Regions from separate parts of the Mus musculus genome. Here regions 2 and 3 are each reported to be linked to region 1. The links are microRNA targets in miRTarBase. Many come from high-throughput screens and were not tested one by one. Region 1 holds a microRNA gene; each other region holds the end of a gene's coding sequence.

Region 1 (5,075 bases):
ACACAAGCCGTCCTGCTGGAATCCCGTACAGAAGGCTACTGTGGAGGCTGCGGCTGGATTCAAGTAATCCAGGATAGGCTGTGTCCGTCCATGAGGCCTGTTCTTGATTACTTGTTTCTGGAGGCAGCGCATGGTCTGCCCTCAATGAAGATGGCTCCTGGGAGTGCATTCCTTCCTGCCGGGTTAGGGTTGGGCCTGTTGAGGCAGCAGAAGCCTGGTAACATGGTAGAGCTGTCCATGGTGGGGCAGAGGTCTCAGTGTCTCGACCTGGGTATCTAGGCCTGCTTGCTTTTCTGTCAGTGCACAGGCAGAGCCGGTGCTGTGTCCTTGGCCTTGTGGGGTTCCTACAGCAATCCACTCTGTCTCCCAGGTATATGTGCTCAAGAGGCCTTACGTCGATGAGTTCCTGAGACGGATGGGGGAGCTCTTCGAATGTGTTCTCTTCACTGCCAGCTTGGCCAAGGTACCTGACTGCAGGAGGGGCAGAAGGCAGGGGAGAGCCAGCCCTCAGCCTAGGCTAAAGCTTCTCCTTCTTTTCCAGTATGCTGACCCTGTGACTGATCTCCTGGACCGGTGCGGGGTGTTCCGGGCCCGCCTGTTCCGAGAGGCTTGTGTGTTCCACCAGGGCTGCTATGTCAAGGACCTCAGCCGCCTGGGAAGGGACCTGAGGAAAACTGTCATCCTGGACAACTCCCCTGCATCTTACATCTTCCACCCAGAAAATGCAGTGAGTGCTCGCATCAGGGACTGGGGTGGCTGCAGGCTGGGCCCGTGGGCTTTATCAGAGGAGTCCACAACCCCTGTGTGGCCCAGCAGCCTCCAATGGCACTGGAAAGGAAAGGAAATATCAGATAATGTCACTTTTTCCTGCCCCAGGTGCCTGTGCAGTCCTGGTTTGATGACATGGCAGATACAGAGTTGCTGAACCTGATTCCAGTCTTCGAGGAGCTAAGTGGAACTGATGATGTCTACACCAGCCTTGGGCAGCTGCGGGCCCCTTAGCCTTCCTGCTCCAAGAAACGGCCATCCCAACAGGGGACTCTGCTACACTGTGCCTTTGTGGTCAGCCTCACTGACGGGGTCTGCAAGTAGCCAGGGCGTGTGGGACAAAAGCAGGTCACACGCAGAGCAGGAAATCAGACCAAGACCCAGAGCTCTCTGCACCCCGTGCTCAGTTCCCAGGTGGTTGTGTGGGTGTGTGTGCGTGCATGTGCCCGTCCGGTAAACTATGGTCCTGGGTGCCCAGTTGTGCAGTAGGGGGAGAAGCTGAAAGATAAGGACTCAACCCAAGTCATTTGTCTTCTTTCCTGCTATGCTGTGAGCTACTGAGCTTTACAGCCATGAAAACTATTGTAGGCTCCCTCGCCAAACCATGGCTTTCCCTCAGCATCAAGACCTGTGCCAAGGAGAAGGGAGAGGCCGGAGGCTGCTTTGGATGCCCAGACACACATCTTTCAGAAAACACAGAAACCTAGCCAGCAGCTGCAGACATGTTTGGGAATATGAGAGCATGTTCGCAGACCCACCAGGTTCTGTGTCCTATGGGCTACACCTGGCTCCAGCAAGAATGCCTGCCATGGGCACTTCTCTGTACCCGGGCTCCAGTGCCAGGCCAGCCTCTCACTCCCAAGCCATAGTCCTACTCCCATGGGAAAGGAGGTCTTCTCTCTGCCCTGGAGGAGGACATATAGCTGATTTCTGTTCTTTTAACTCTTAAAAATCTCTTTCTAAACTTGGAGTGGTTTATATTCGCCCGAGCTCCAGTCCTGGGCCTGAGGTTTGTGTGGGAAGCGCTGGGGTACAAAGAAAATGCAAATGTTCAATGCAAGATGTCTGTCTCCTTGCGTGTAGATCCCAAAAGTGCTCTTCAGGGGTTCTGTGCTAGCTGATGCAAGGACATTAGCTCCAAAGGCTGGGGAGGGCTTGGCTCTCCCTCTGTGTCTTCCTGGTGTCCCGCCCTGGCCAGCTCTCGTCTGCTCTCGCCTTTATCCTTCTCGGCTGCTGCTCTTCCTCTCCAGAGCCTTGGGAGAAGGACTTTCCCCGGTTGTACTTAATTGATTGGTTGTCCCAAGTGTTGCTCTTACTTGATTTGCCAAATGCCTCCTGCTTCTCGTTATAGGACTGAGTGAGGTCCTCATAGCTCTGTGCTCTGGGCAGCTCTGAGCTCTCAGCCCTGTTGCTTTCAATGTCAGTCACAGAGTGGAAGTTTCCCCAAAGTGGAAAGCTACCATTGGGAACACAAGGGGCCCCTGAGGGGCCTCCACCTCACTGCCTTAAGTGAGTCCCGCCCACTCCCTGCCTCCCTCCGAGGTGGGCGGGAGTTCCTACCCCATCTCTGCTTCCCCTGGAGGCCGGCCAGCGTTTGTGGGTTGGTTCAGGTGTGGTACCTCCCACTCAGGAGTCAATATTTTCAAATTTTTCTAGTTTCCACACACGAGGTCCTGCCTGGGGTTTGAGAAAGCCTGGTGGAGGAGTGTGGTGGTGTGAGTGGAGACTGGCTGGCATTCCTCCAGCACTCTGCAGACTTCTTCCTGGGCCCGAGGCTATGGAGCCTTGGCTTTCACTTCTGTGACAAACACATGCCATTTCCCCAGCCTCATTTGCTGGTGTCTGTAGGGTCCTCCCAAGGTGAGCTGAGGGCTGCAGGTGCTAGCCAGGAACATGGGAGCTTGACTGTGGCTTCAGGTCCAGACCCTGATCTCACTGGCATCCCAATACTGCAGGAGGGGTCTTCTCACAAAGCTCTGAGGGCTGGTCTTGACTAAGCAATAAGAGCCTCAGAGTTGATTGAATTTTAAGGTCCCTTTCTGGCTTCTTGGTTCTCCATGTGACCAAAGCCCAGTGTGGCTTCATGGGAGCCCTGTTACTTCTCCATGAAACCCCAGCTCTCTAGGCCTGACTGCCACCAGAGTCCTCTTACCACCTGCAGTCTGCCACAAAGATGCCATATCAACTCCTCTCTTCCCAAAACTAAACAGGATCTATCATGGTGGCACGGAGTCAGCTAGATGTTGTCTCTTGCTATCCCTGTGCTAGTTCCATGTTTTAGAAGCAAAGTGATACTGGGGAGGAGAGGAGGGCAAGTGAGAGGAGCCAGTGCCTCCTGAAGCCCTTGCTCCACTGCCACCAGCCCGCCTGCCCCAGTGCAGACTGGTCTTCAGGAGTCAGTAGACCACCGGACCAGGTGTCAGCATCCACTCCAAGCCATGCTAGGAATCTGCCCCCTGCCGGGTTCAGCTCTTTAAGGTGCCTCTTCAGGGACACAGTGTGTGTCTGATTGGGCTTCGCATCAAAAGCCTGACGTTCCTGTCCCTCTTATAGGGGGAGCTTTGGACACAGGACCAGTTTGATAAAGGGCCAGGTAAGGGTTTCCACTCTGCACATTGTAGAGGGGACACCGAAGGCCCATGGGTCCCTAATTAAAGAAGTTGAGTGAATTTGCCTTCGTTCAACCAGGGACCTATCTCACTCCCTCCCAAAGATTTTTGTATAATTGTATAACCCCCCTCCCCCTGTTAACAGTGGCTCAGAAAAGCTTTGTACTAAAAGCATGGGACCCTCACAGCAACCATTCCTGGGAGATGGGTCCCTTATAGGTCCATGACCTGCTCTGTTCAGAGGCCTCTTGGCAGTGTGGCCTGTTTGTGCTGTCCTGCATCCAGTGTGTTGGCCTGGCTAAGTGAAAACGGTGAGCTGTTTCCCCTTTGGGCTACTTAACCACGGCTACTCCTTTTTTAAAAATGTCCTAGTTCTCCCCTACACACACACACACACACACGGTTTGATGAATTTCCAAACCACGGCTACTCCTTTTTTAAAAACGGGTTTGAACTCCTGTTTAGCCAAGAGTGATCTTGAGCTGGTCTCCTGCCTCCACCCCCTGAGTGCTGGGGTTACAGGTGATAGCTGGTCTCCTGCCTCCACCTCCTGAGTGCTGGGGTTACAGGTGATCGCTGGTCTCCTGCCTCCACCTCCTGAGTGCTGGGGTTACAGGTGATCGCTGGTCTCCTGCCTCCACCCCCTGAGTGCTGGGGTTACAGGTGTGATCACCTTGCTGGCTTGTGAGGTGCTGGGGACAACCCAGGGCTTCGTGCATGTCAGGCACACACTCCCAACTAAGCTACATCCCCAGTCCCTCTTTCTAGAAAACAGATAAGTCCATGTTCAGGGGAGAAGAGGTCACAGGTCAGGCCAGCTGCCCCATCCTTTAGTTCGGGGTTAGCTCCCAGAACTGCCCTGCACCATAAGCTGGTGATTCTCCATGCCTGTCCTTACCCCGGATCTGGCTATTCCCGTGATGCCATTTGGAGGGGAGAGGTCTGCTTCCCACTGTGACCAGGCTATGGGATCCTTGGCCACCTTGCTTCATGATTTGATACATTTGTTGTATTCAAAAACTTGAACTGTAGGATGCCATTAAGAGTCTGTTTATATTTTTGGAATATTTGTATTACAATTGTTAATAAAGGCTGGTTTAAAAACCTGTGCAGGACTGGGAGCTGCTTTTGCTTTCCTTCCCTTCCACTGACCTGACACTCGGTGGACACTGTTCTTCCTGCATGACCTCGTTGATCGTGAAATGATAGCACCTGGCAGAGCAAACGCTGGGATTCTGATCAAGGTTACAGAGGTTGGAGTGCATTAGCCCCTCTCGGGCCTGGGTTGGAACCAACTCCCTCTCCCCAGGTACTTGGCAAGCGTTTGCTTGCTGTGCTATTGACTGGGGTAGAGACTGAAGCCCTGGGGGAATTGGAGGCTCCTGCATGTGCTCTTGATGCTGCCAAACAGGCCTTGAGATTCAGAGCCCAGCATGGTTTCCAGGCACATAGTAGGATGACTTGTACAGACTCCAAGCAACAAAAGCTTTCCTGACACCACAGAATTGCCCAGAATCATCTCTCAGCCCTGAACGTCCAGGCACACAGTAGGGGAGCTCTAGCCAGTCTCCTGTCATCAGCATAATACGTTCATATCTACAATATGGCAAATTCATATCCTCCCTCACTGAATTATTGATGGACAGTGCACTTTTAAAAAAATCAATAGACCAGGGTGTGGAGCTGGAGTTAAAAGAA
Region 2 (5,075 bases), not on the chromosome of region 1:
TCAGAATGTCACAGGCCAAATGAGACGTGTTTGGACTGGCTTCTTCACTCGGTGTCATTTAAAGTCCCCTTGGGTATTTTCACAACTCAATCACTCTTTGTTTACTGCTGCGTGTTCCACGTTCTGGATGCACCCACAGACTCTCTGAAGAATTCTGGGTTGAGTTTTGGCAATAAGGAAAATCTGCCCCAAACCATCATGCACAGATTGTTATATGGACACAAATTTGCCAGCAGTTCCCGTGGACAAATGCGAGAGTGGGTACTTGCTGGATCTGATGGTAAAACTATGTCTGGTTTAATCAGAAACCCCAAACCTTCTTTGAAAGGGAGTTAATTGTTTGGACTCAGTCCAAATGATGGCTGGGACCAAGGAAACAGATGAGTACTGAGAGGAAGTAACTGCAGGATGGTACCTCAAAGTTAGTGTATCCTAATTAGCTAATATGGTATTTCAAGCCTGATAATTGGGTCAAATGCATTCCTGAAAAGGTGAAAAGTTCTGTTTGACACCTACAAAGGGCAGCATCGTCAAGGTCCTGTCTATGTGTTCTCATAGCTACAAACCATTGCAGGAAAACATCAAACAAAAACATGAAGATATTCTTATGCATTCACCCGGCACTCCTTTTGGTATCACGAGAGGCGTGAAGGGAAGAAGGAACTGGGAACTAGTCTTAGGTGAACTCCCAGACAACGTGTGCCTCTGCGTCATAGGGTTGGAGGGTAGCGACCCAAAGGTATCTGTTTGGAAATCTTTGTCATCCAACCCTGAAATTTAGCTCCCACGGTGCAGTTTTTGGGTTTAACAGACCAGTTACTTGGCTGAAATGCACAAGAAAGGTGAGAACTGCTGGTCCTGCAGGACCATACCAAGGCTGCTTCTCCATGACGCTAGCAAGTACCAGCTGAGATAGCTCAGTGCTGCGGGGTCAGAGCTGGCTCGGATGCCTGCCAGTCACAGAAGCCCACCCCTTCCAGGCAGCCTCCACCTACAGTCAGTTCACCATGGTCTGGACAAGTTTCCATCTAGGTCTTCAACCTCCTAAGTCTGCAGTGTGCCCTGGCTGCTCTTCCAGAGGACCTGGGTTCAATTTCCAGTATTCACATGGCAGCTCATGGCTATTTATAACTCCAATCCCAGGGTACCTGGCACTCTCACACAGATATGCAGGCAAAATACCAATGCACATAAAAAATCATTACAAAATATTATTTGGGCAGGGTGACCTTTAATCCCAGCACTCGGGAGGCAGAGGCAGGCAGATTTCTGAGTTCGAGGCCAGCCTGGTCTACAGAGTGAGTTCCAGGACAGCCAGGGCTACACAGAGAAACCCTTTCCCGAAAAAAAGAAAGAAAGAAAGAAAGAAAGAAAGAAAGAAAGAAAGAAACCAACCTCTGGAAGGTGCCTATAATCTACCTTTCAAGAATAAACTTTTTGGGGAAAAAGAATTCCCAATAAAAGTTCAACACCAGGGCTGGTGAGATGGTTCAGTGGTTAAGAGCACTGACTGCTCTTCTGGAGGTCATGAGTTCAAATCCCAGCAACCACATGATGGCTCACAAGCATCCATAATGAGAAACAAATAATAATAATAATAAAACCTATGGGCTGGAGCAAGCTGGGGCCGGAGCAAGAGGGAGAAAAGAAGGTGGGGAAAATTTTCAATTCCATAAGGAGAGGTAAATTTAATAATTTGTGCCTATTGGCCTGCTTCTCTGTGACATCATCACACCATAAATCCCCTTCAATGAATGGTCTAGGTCTCCTCCACTTCCTCCTGTGTAGAGCAGTATCCGTACTACTGTCCTTACAACAGGGACTGGCCCAGTCCAGCTAGGTAGGAGACAACCCTGGACACTGTGTCTTGTGTTTATTTCACCATCTTCCCCTCCAGGCAAGAGTGCCCCTGTTCTGGACACTGCCTCCTCTCTACCTGGAAGGGCTAGCTGCAGCTCCATCTATCATCCCTGCCCCTGCAGGAACATGAAGCCCTTTGTGAGGGGTCTTGTTGTCATCATCAGGCCCCGGGGACATGATAGGAATATGACTCCAGTCATCTTCCTTCCCTACAGACTGGGAATTCTGAAGTCAGCTCCAACCAGGTCTTTCTGCACACATCTCTCTTCCCCTTCATCTTAATGGTGTCTTACAGGTACTCCAAGAGCCTTGGCTTTTCTAGAACCAACTTCAGGAAGGTTAGTGAGCCTGTGTGCCAATTCTATTCCCTCAGCTACTCCAGACCTGTCCAAGTGTGTGACAGGAAGAGATCCCTGTCATGACCAGTGTGCAGCGTGGTGAAAGCCAGGCATCCTTCCTAGTCCTACTGCCGTATCTTCTGGGAGCACAGCATCTTGGATGCATATCCCTCCACACCTGGAGCTGCATCTGACCTCAGCAAAGCCTCCATGAGTGTACTGTGCTCTGAAGCATCGGTACCTGTAGCTGATGGTTAAGCTCTCAGAAGGCAGCAAAACTGACATCCTTGAGTTCTCTGTCCAGGATTCCTCCTGACACTGTCTCCAAGCAATCTTTGCCTTCTTCAGGAGTCACAAAACCTTGTAGCCACTTCTGGCCAGCAGCTGTGCCAGGATATCTTGCTCCTTCAGCATATCTCAAACACGTGGGAAGAGCGATAGAACCAGCCATCTGACACCACTCAGGAAAGCAACATCATTTTCTAAAAGACAATGCTTCTATTGTTCACCACTTCAAGAAGACACAGTATTTCAATTGACTTCAGTGGCTTAATTTACATTACTGCAATCTATATATGCACACATAAAATACATAATCACACCTTATACTCTGTCCCTCTACCTCAGCATTTATGGTCAATTTGTCCAGCTCTGAAAACCAGTATATACAGAGAAATTGTTTAGAGTAACAGTGATGTTGTTCACAGTATACACATATATAATTGTAACTGTCAACTAAAATAGAAAGTGTATGCAACTGAAAAATAAAACACCTATTCCGTGAATGTTTCCAGACCCCAGAGTTCAGGTGCTACAAGTTTAATCCCCAATACAACAGTGTTGGAAGGGTGGGCTCAGAAGAGATTCAATCAGAGAGAACTTGCCCTCATGGGTGGGTTAATTACATTAATTATAAACAAGCCCCTGGAACTGGGCTGTCTGCCCTCCTCACTACTTGAAATCCTCTATGCAGCATGCAGCCCCAGAGCAGAAGGACAGAGCCTTCCCCCTTTTGACCTTGTGCTTCTCAGCATCTAAAACTAAGAGTAAATTCCAGTTCCCAACAGATTATCCAGCTACAGCACCATGGAGAGACTGACCACGCCCCTCAGGAGAGCCCTGTCAAGGGTCAGGTCTTCATTTCTAGGATACCTGATAATTAAAACATCTTTAAAATGCATTCATTTGGTCTTTAATAACTATATGATGGGGCTGGAGAGATGGCTCAGTGGTTAAGAGCATTGACTGCTCTTCTGAAGGTCCTGAGTTCAAATCCCAGCAACCACATGGTGGCTCACAACCACTCATAATGAGATCTGACACCCTCTTCTGGTGTGTCTTAAGACAGCTACAGTGTACTTACATATAACAATAAATAAATCTTTTTTTAAAAAAAGAACTATATGATGACATATGAGTGGTCCTTATTAAAAAAAAAAACCACTAGCTGGGGCTGGAGAGACAGTTGAGGGCAGTTAAGGGCACTCATTGCTCTGGGAAAGGACCCAGGTTTGGTTCCCAGCACTCACACAGCATCTCACAGTCACCCATTACTCTAGGTCCAGTGCATCCAGCCCCCTTCTCACTTCTTCAGACACCAGGAGCACAGGTGATGCTCATACAGACATGTAAGTAAATCTAAAATTAAAAAACATTGGCAAGATTTTGCCAATGATTAGTTCAACACAAAAATCTAAGATAAAATGAGATTTTTGGAGGCTGGAAAGATGGCTCATGGGTTAGGAGACTGGCTGCTCTTCCATAGCCCCTAGGTTCAGCTCCTAGCACCCACATGGCTGCTAACTGTAACTCCAGTCCCTGGGGATCTGGCACCCTCATATACACACATACATGTAGGCAAAGAACCACAGAAAAATAAGTAAATCTTTTTTAAAAAAAAATGAGATTCTCAGTAAATTTCAAATAATTATACCCTGATCATAAATGGTCTTTACTTAAGAATGCATATTCTTGTGATTCAAAATCAAATTAAAACTAATAAAAATGAACATGAAAATGTTTTATTTAAAACAGTGACAAGAGGCAAGGGGACACTGAGGTTTTAAAGATCAAAAGTAAGTTTCCAAGCTCAGAAATAAAATTAAAATCGCATATTGCTATTATGTTTAATAACAAATATTTGACCAACTACTATAATTGTACAATAAATATAATGGCTTTCTAATTTTTCTTCTTTACCAAAAAATCATAAGCTGGTAAATTAACAAATGGAAGTTAATAATTTTCATTAAAAAAGGCACATCCAGGCAAAATAGTTCAGGTGATTGTAAAATGCAGTGTTAAAACTCTGTACATAATCAACTGACTGCAAATAAATTACTCTGGAAAATTCTTAAACATGACAGGAGAGTCTTTGAAATAGCAAGCAAGCATGAGGGCGCTGCCTCTTGGCCCGTGTTACTCTGTCTCTGCTGGGAAGCCAGCAGAGAGGCGCAGCAGCAGACCGTCTCGGGACTGGAACCCCCGAAGGATCCTTGCCCCACAGCCTGTCGTCCTCGGGTGTTGTCAGAGACTTGAGCGCCTCTCTGGTCTCGGCACACACTTGGTAATGGCTGCTTTCCACAGCACTGGGGCGAGTAAGAGGCTGAGTGTGGTCACACTTAGGATAAGGAGGTACACCTGCAACGGGCAAATGGGCACAGTCACAAGAGTTCGGAAGGTAAAGCGCACAGCCTGCATTTTCAGAGGACACCTCGAGTAGCGCATGTGGACAGTGTGACCCCACTGAGTGTTGGGAGCTACACTGTCAACCAGAAGCGTATCCATCTTTAAAGAGGGGGAAATAGTGCCACAGGAGAGAGGACATTTGCAGTGGGAAGAACTGGGATTCGACCTGACGGAAAGTTGTGGTAGTTC
Region 3 (5,075 bases), not on the chromosome of region 1:
AAGAAATACAGAGCTAGGTCTATATAAACCTCTTACTCGGCTTAGTCACATGATGCTTGCTTTAGTGAAATGCCACTCACATTATATACAGACTCCTATATGTAGATCCAGAAAGGCCTTTGAAGTGTCCAGAGAATCACTGGAAGTGATCATTAATCTTTTTTATTGCCCATAGGGAGGTGGGATGCACATTGGTTCTACTGAATGGCTTCAGTTGATATTTGGGAAAGCTTATTTATATTAACTTCATTGAATAATTAGTGAAATGAAAAGCCCCAGACTTGTATTATAGATGATATCTCTTTATTATAGTTTGAAAATTAATTTTGTATTTTATCCTTTGCCTCTCATTTAGTGATTTCTTAGTACCGGACTACTTAAACCAGGAGCAAGAAGAGACCCTTGTTCAGTATGATCTTGGAGAACATACTTTTGAAAGCAACTCTTCTGTTCAAATGCCTGTGATTTCACAGGTCTCCTCAACCCAGAATTGTGAAAGCACTTTTCCCCTGGGCTCTCTTGGTGGGCTTACAGAGAAGGAGGAGGAACTGCATGAGCAGCCAAAGACCAGTGCTCCTGCTGAGGCGCCCAGGGATGACCCCCCTAAGGCAGAGCTGCCTGCTATAACTATTGAGTAATTCTGTGATTGGCCTGGGGTTTGGTTTTTTGGAAAGTGCCTGTGCTTGGTCTCATATGTTTAAATTTAATTTAATTTTTAAAGAAGGGTTCCCTTTGTAAACCCTAAAACTGGAGGGTTCTATGTTTTGTTTTGTTTTTTCATAGCTGAGAGATTGCTTCTGTATGTATACAATAAGGTAACATTGAAACAGAACATAAACTTTGAGACTTAAGGAAAAGCAGCTGACTTAGAACATGGCAGTTCTTCCTCCCATTGTTAAAAGTGGGCAGCAGCAGATACAAAAGAACTCAGGCTGTGGTTGACCTTCCTGAGAGAAGAGGGCTAATGAGAAGTTATTAAACAGTTTGACAAGGCCTAAGTAAATGTGTACTCCTAAGTGCAGGGTGTTATAAACCCTGTAGTTTTGGAAGTATTTGTGGTGGGTTTGTTTTTGTTTTTGTTTTTTTCAGATGAAGGTAAATAACTTCTGAAATCCAGTATATTCTTTTTTAAGCCATTTTGAATTTTCATAGTGAAAAATTAGTATCAGGCAGGTATTTCCTGTACCTTTATAGCACCACTCCAGAGGCTAAGAGGTGTGGTTGAGAAGAGTCAGGCTGCATGTGGAATGGCAGGGTGCAGAACGAGGTACGTATACCCAGCTTTGCAGAAACTCTCCTGAGACTTTCTCTTCCTGGTCATTGAATGCTGACACCTGGCTAACTAGGGCATTGCTCAGAGAAGTGTCCTCGTGTCCCACCAACAGCACTTTCATTTGCATATACTATTGTGCTGCCATATAAAGGAGAAATAGTGAAGATATTCTATATTTTATATATAGGTTTATGTATTGTTGAGGATGTCGATGCTGTGCTGTTTTGGACAAAATAAAAGAATTCTGTTTTGAGGCTACATTCTTAACCCAATTAAGATTGTTTACAAGGTCACATATGACAACAATATAATGTCCTTATTCCAAAATATTTTGAGGTATTGCCAAGTTTGTTAAAAGCTTTCACGAGATGTAAGCAATAATGTAAAAGATACGACGAGGTTGTGAGTGATCATCTGTGACTCAGACATGGAGGGAGGGATTGTTAAGACCAGAATCTTAAAAACTTTGCTACTCAGACGATAACATTTATATGATATTCTAGATTGGGATATACTTTTTTATCTTTTGCCATTAAAGCCTCTTTGATCTAAAATATTTATGAAGCCACGAGTAATGAACTTTTGTGTAATTTTTTATATAGAAAATAGCCCCAATGTTTATCGTTATGATAGCCCCTGATGGGGTTAGAAGATAAAAACAACATTTTGTTTGTTTGTTTGTTTGTTTGTTTGACTTTGGACACTCTCTTTTGTTTTGTGACAGGATCATAGGTAGTCCAGGTTGGTCCAGAACTCATCATCCTCTTGCCTCAGTTTCCCAACAACCTTTGCTACCATTATATATTATAGACACACATCACCACACCCAGATCAGACTATAGTCTTAGTCAAACACCTGATCTGACTTTTATCCCAATGCCAAACCTTACTTACTTTTTATATTATAGTAATTTGTTTCTTTAAAATTTATTAATTCTGCAATTTAATTTCTGGTTTTTTGTAGGTTTTTTGGTTTTGTTTTGTTTTTGGGTTCTTTTTTTTTTTTTTTTTTTTTTTTTTTTTCCAAGACAGGGTTTCTCTGTGTAGCCCTGGCTGTCCTGGAACTCACTTTGTAGACCAGGCTGGCCTCGAACTCAGAAATCCGCCTGCCTCTGCCTCCCAAATTCTGGGATTAAAGGCGTGCGCCACCACGCCCGGCTGAAATTTAATTTCTATCTCTGTTCTTTTTTCTTCTTGATACTGAGAATTGCACCCAGGACTTTGTATATGATGCGCACGTGCCCTGTCACTGGTCACACCCCCACCCTGAGTCCCAGTTGTTTTTTACCTGACTCATGGCTGATTGCTCCCAAGCATAGGTGGGTAGCTTTCAGAAAAACCAACTAGGAAAGTCAGTCATTTTTATTTTTTTATCATACATGATCTTTGAAAACTGTGCCTAGTAATAAAGAAATCCTAAAACTCACTAGAATCCTATTTTAGTATGGTAAATGTTCTTGGTTCTAAATTGGGTTGTTTTGTCTTGGTTTTTTTGTTTTTTGTTTTGTTTTGTTTTGTTGTTAAGAGCTAGAAAAAAGTAAAAGGAAGAAAGAAATGAGAATAAATCAGAGATGAATTGATTTGAAGAATTCTTTTTAGATTGTTTTGATTGAAAGTGTTTGAGTCTACTCTATCCTAAGAGTCGTGTGTTAGGACAGCCCTGGCAGCCTCCCTGTGAAGGACACACCTCCCTGTGGATTTTTATCCCTAGTGGCAAAGCTTGTAGCCAACCTTAGTGACAGATTTGAATATACTATGAATGCACAAATGGTTAGTTGCCTACTACCCAAACATTTTTAATAAACTTACCTAACCAGTGTTTAATATAAAATGATACAAAGGCTTTTTTCTGTTCCAATGAGACTCTACATTTTTAAGGATATTTTGTTTATGGGTCTGTTATAGGAAATACAACTGCAAGAGATAATTGTATATATAGTAATATTTAAAGTTTATTTAAAGTTGATTTAAGAGAGGAATGCCTAGATGTATACTTTTCACCAGAACATATGGAAAACATTGAAGAGATGAAAGCCAGTTACGATCCCGTCATAGAAATCACCAGGGTAACTAAACAGAGAATCATTCTTGTTTAGAATATTTAAAGGTAGCTATCTTTTGTAAGGCCAACAAGGGTACCTTTGTGATATTTAAAGGGCTTAAATTTTAGAATGCTAGATAAATTACTTTTTAAAAAACAAAGCATTTTATATAAGAAAAGCTTTGTTTTCAGTTTTTTTTTTTTTTTTCCAACTACCAAATAGATAGGATGTGCTTTAGAAGCAAAGCTCTTCCCGTGTTGTCAGGAGTCGTAGCTCCTCGTGTCAGTCTTTGCATTTCCAAACTCTAGCCTTCAGAGTGTAATGTCAGGAAATCACTAACTCAGAAACAGAAATTTGACAGTAACCTTTACTTTATGCGTTTAAATTTTTCAAGAAATGGATGTAGATAAATGTTAATATCCACTTCCCTTAATTGGCCATTTTAAACAATCCTAATTTTTATTTTCAGTTTAATTTCAAGTTTAACCACAGTTCATTATATTAATAGGTTTTATTTTGGGTTTTTGTGGAGTGTTTGTTTTTTTTTTAAGTTCACAGTTTTGCTAAGACAAAGTGTGCTAAGCTGTTTAGGTTTGACCGTTTGGAGTCCCAATAGATAAACAGGATCCGTGTTAAGATACATTCCCTTTGCTATAAAAAACAAACAAACAAACATGCTTGTGTTTGTTAAACTGTTTTACTAAGAGTGAAGTAGTCAGGGCCTCTGATTCGCTGAGTCACTGGTAACTCAGCTTCCTTCTAACTGCTGAGCCAGGCTCTCCTGTCTTATAACTCATCCCTGTTCCTTTGGAAGCTATGTTAAGTCTTTCACTCCTTTAAAAAACAAAACAAAAACCTCTTATTTTATTCTCTTAGTCTAATTACTAGAAGCCACTTTTGCAGAGCGCGTGTCCATTTTCAGATTAAGCTTTAGCCTGTTAGCTTTGGAGTCCCTGCAAGGTGCGTGACCATACAGTGCTATGCAGGTGGCTTCTCTACCAGGATCACAGAGAATGATTTCTTATGATGGCAAATGAATGCTCGGTCCTCAATTTTAACTGAAGAGATTTTGATTTGTAGATGTAATGAACAGGTGAATTGGAAACTTGCATTGTCCTGCATCACTCATCTGCCCCAAGGGCCTTCAAGCTCGGAAGTATACATCTTCGTGAAGGAGTGATTTTTGAGTTCTTAACTAGGGGTGGGGGAAGGACCTAGGAAAGCTCACATGGAGCAAACAGCCCCAAGGTAGGGGAGGAAGGTGAGTTTTCACTGCACTGCTAAGTGTTGCCATCAGATGTCTTTTTGTATTTTGATAGTAGAAACCAGAAGGCAATGGACAAAAGTGAGGGAGTGGAGAGATGGTATTGTTGTAAACACAGCCATGAGGAATATTTATAACTAAATACATGTTTTAAATGAGATCATCAAAGTTAAGATTTCTTATTTTGCTTATACTAGTATTTATCCCTCTTTCGTTTTTGACAGAATGTGGTGACATAGGATAGTTTTTATGTGAAAGTCTTCAACAAAACAAATTTACCAAAATAGCAATGGTTCAGATAAACAATGAAGTGGAATCGAGCCAGTCCTCAGGCTGGTTAAGAAGTAGGCTATAGATGTTTCACTCTGGATTATACATAAATTGAGATTTTTGCTGCAACCTAGAAACATGAATTATGTTGAACAGGGAATGATACTGTTACTACCGGGAGTTAGACTGTTATTAATGTATACTAAAGTGATGAGCGAGACGCTTT

What was found. Region 1 holds the annotated microRNA mmu-miR-546 (AUGGUGGCACGGAGUC, at 2,987-3,002, shown strand). A microRNA usually pairs through its seed, bases 2 to 8, with sites in the 3' UTR of a target mRNA and lowers its output. Matches are read on the target gene's strand: a 7mer-m8 pairs with bases 2 to 8, a 7mer-A1 pairs with bases 2 to 7 and ends in A, and an 8mer does both.
Region 2: miRTarBase lists Tmco3 as a target of mmu-miR-546. Seed matches in the 3' UTR shown: 7mer-m8 at 3,486-3,492.
Region 3: the mRNA of Zbtb44 is a reported target of mmu-miR-546. Seed matches in the 3' UTR shown: 7mer-A1 at 1,376-1,382 and 7mer-m8 at 2,418-2,424.

What each region holds. Positions count from the first base shown.
Region 1 is chr10:126,995,485-127,000,559 of GRCm38, forward strand. It overlaps Mir546 (microRNA 546), which reads left to right and starts at 2,956; the gene lies at 2,956-3,076. Ctdsp2 (CTD (carboxy-terminal domain, RNA polymerase II, polypeptide A) small phosphatase 2) reads left to right here. Exons shown (of 8, transcript NM_001113470.1): 6 at 371-463; 7 at 542-727; 8 at 877-4,491. The coding sequence ends at 1,002. It overlaps Mir26a-2 (microRNA 26a-2), which reads left to right and starts at 46; the gene lies at 46-129. It also overlaps a transcript of Avil not described here.
Region 2 is chr8:13,320,524-13,325,598 of GRCm38, reverse strand. Tmco3 (transmembrane and coiled-coil domains 3) reads right to left here. Exons shown (of 13, transcript NM_172282.2): 13 at 2,675-4,838. The coding sequence ends at 4,725. Among named protein-coding and RNA genes, the nearest start is that of Tfdp1, 16 kb to the left of the region's middle.
Region 3 is chr9:31,068,390-31,073,464 of GRCm38, forward strand. Zbtb44 (zinc finger and BTB domain containing 44) reads left to right here. Exons shown (of 6, transcript NM_001115130.1): 6 at 356-5,075. The coding sequence ends at 366. Among named protein-coding and RNA genes, the nearest start is that of Gm17508, 12 kb to the right of the region's middle.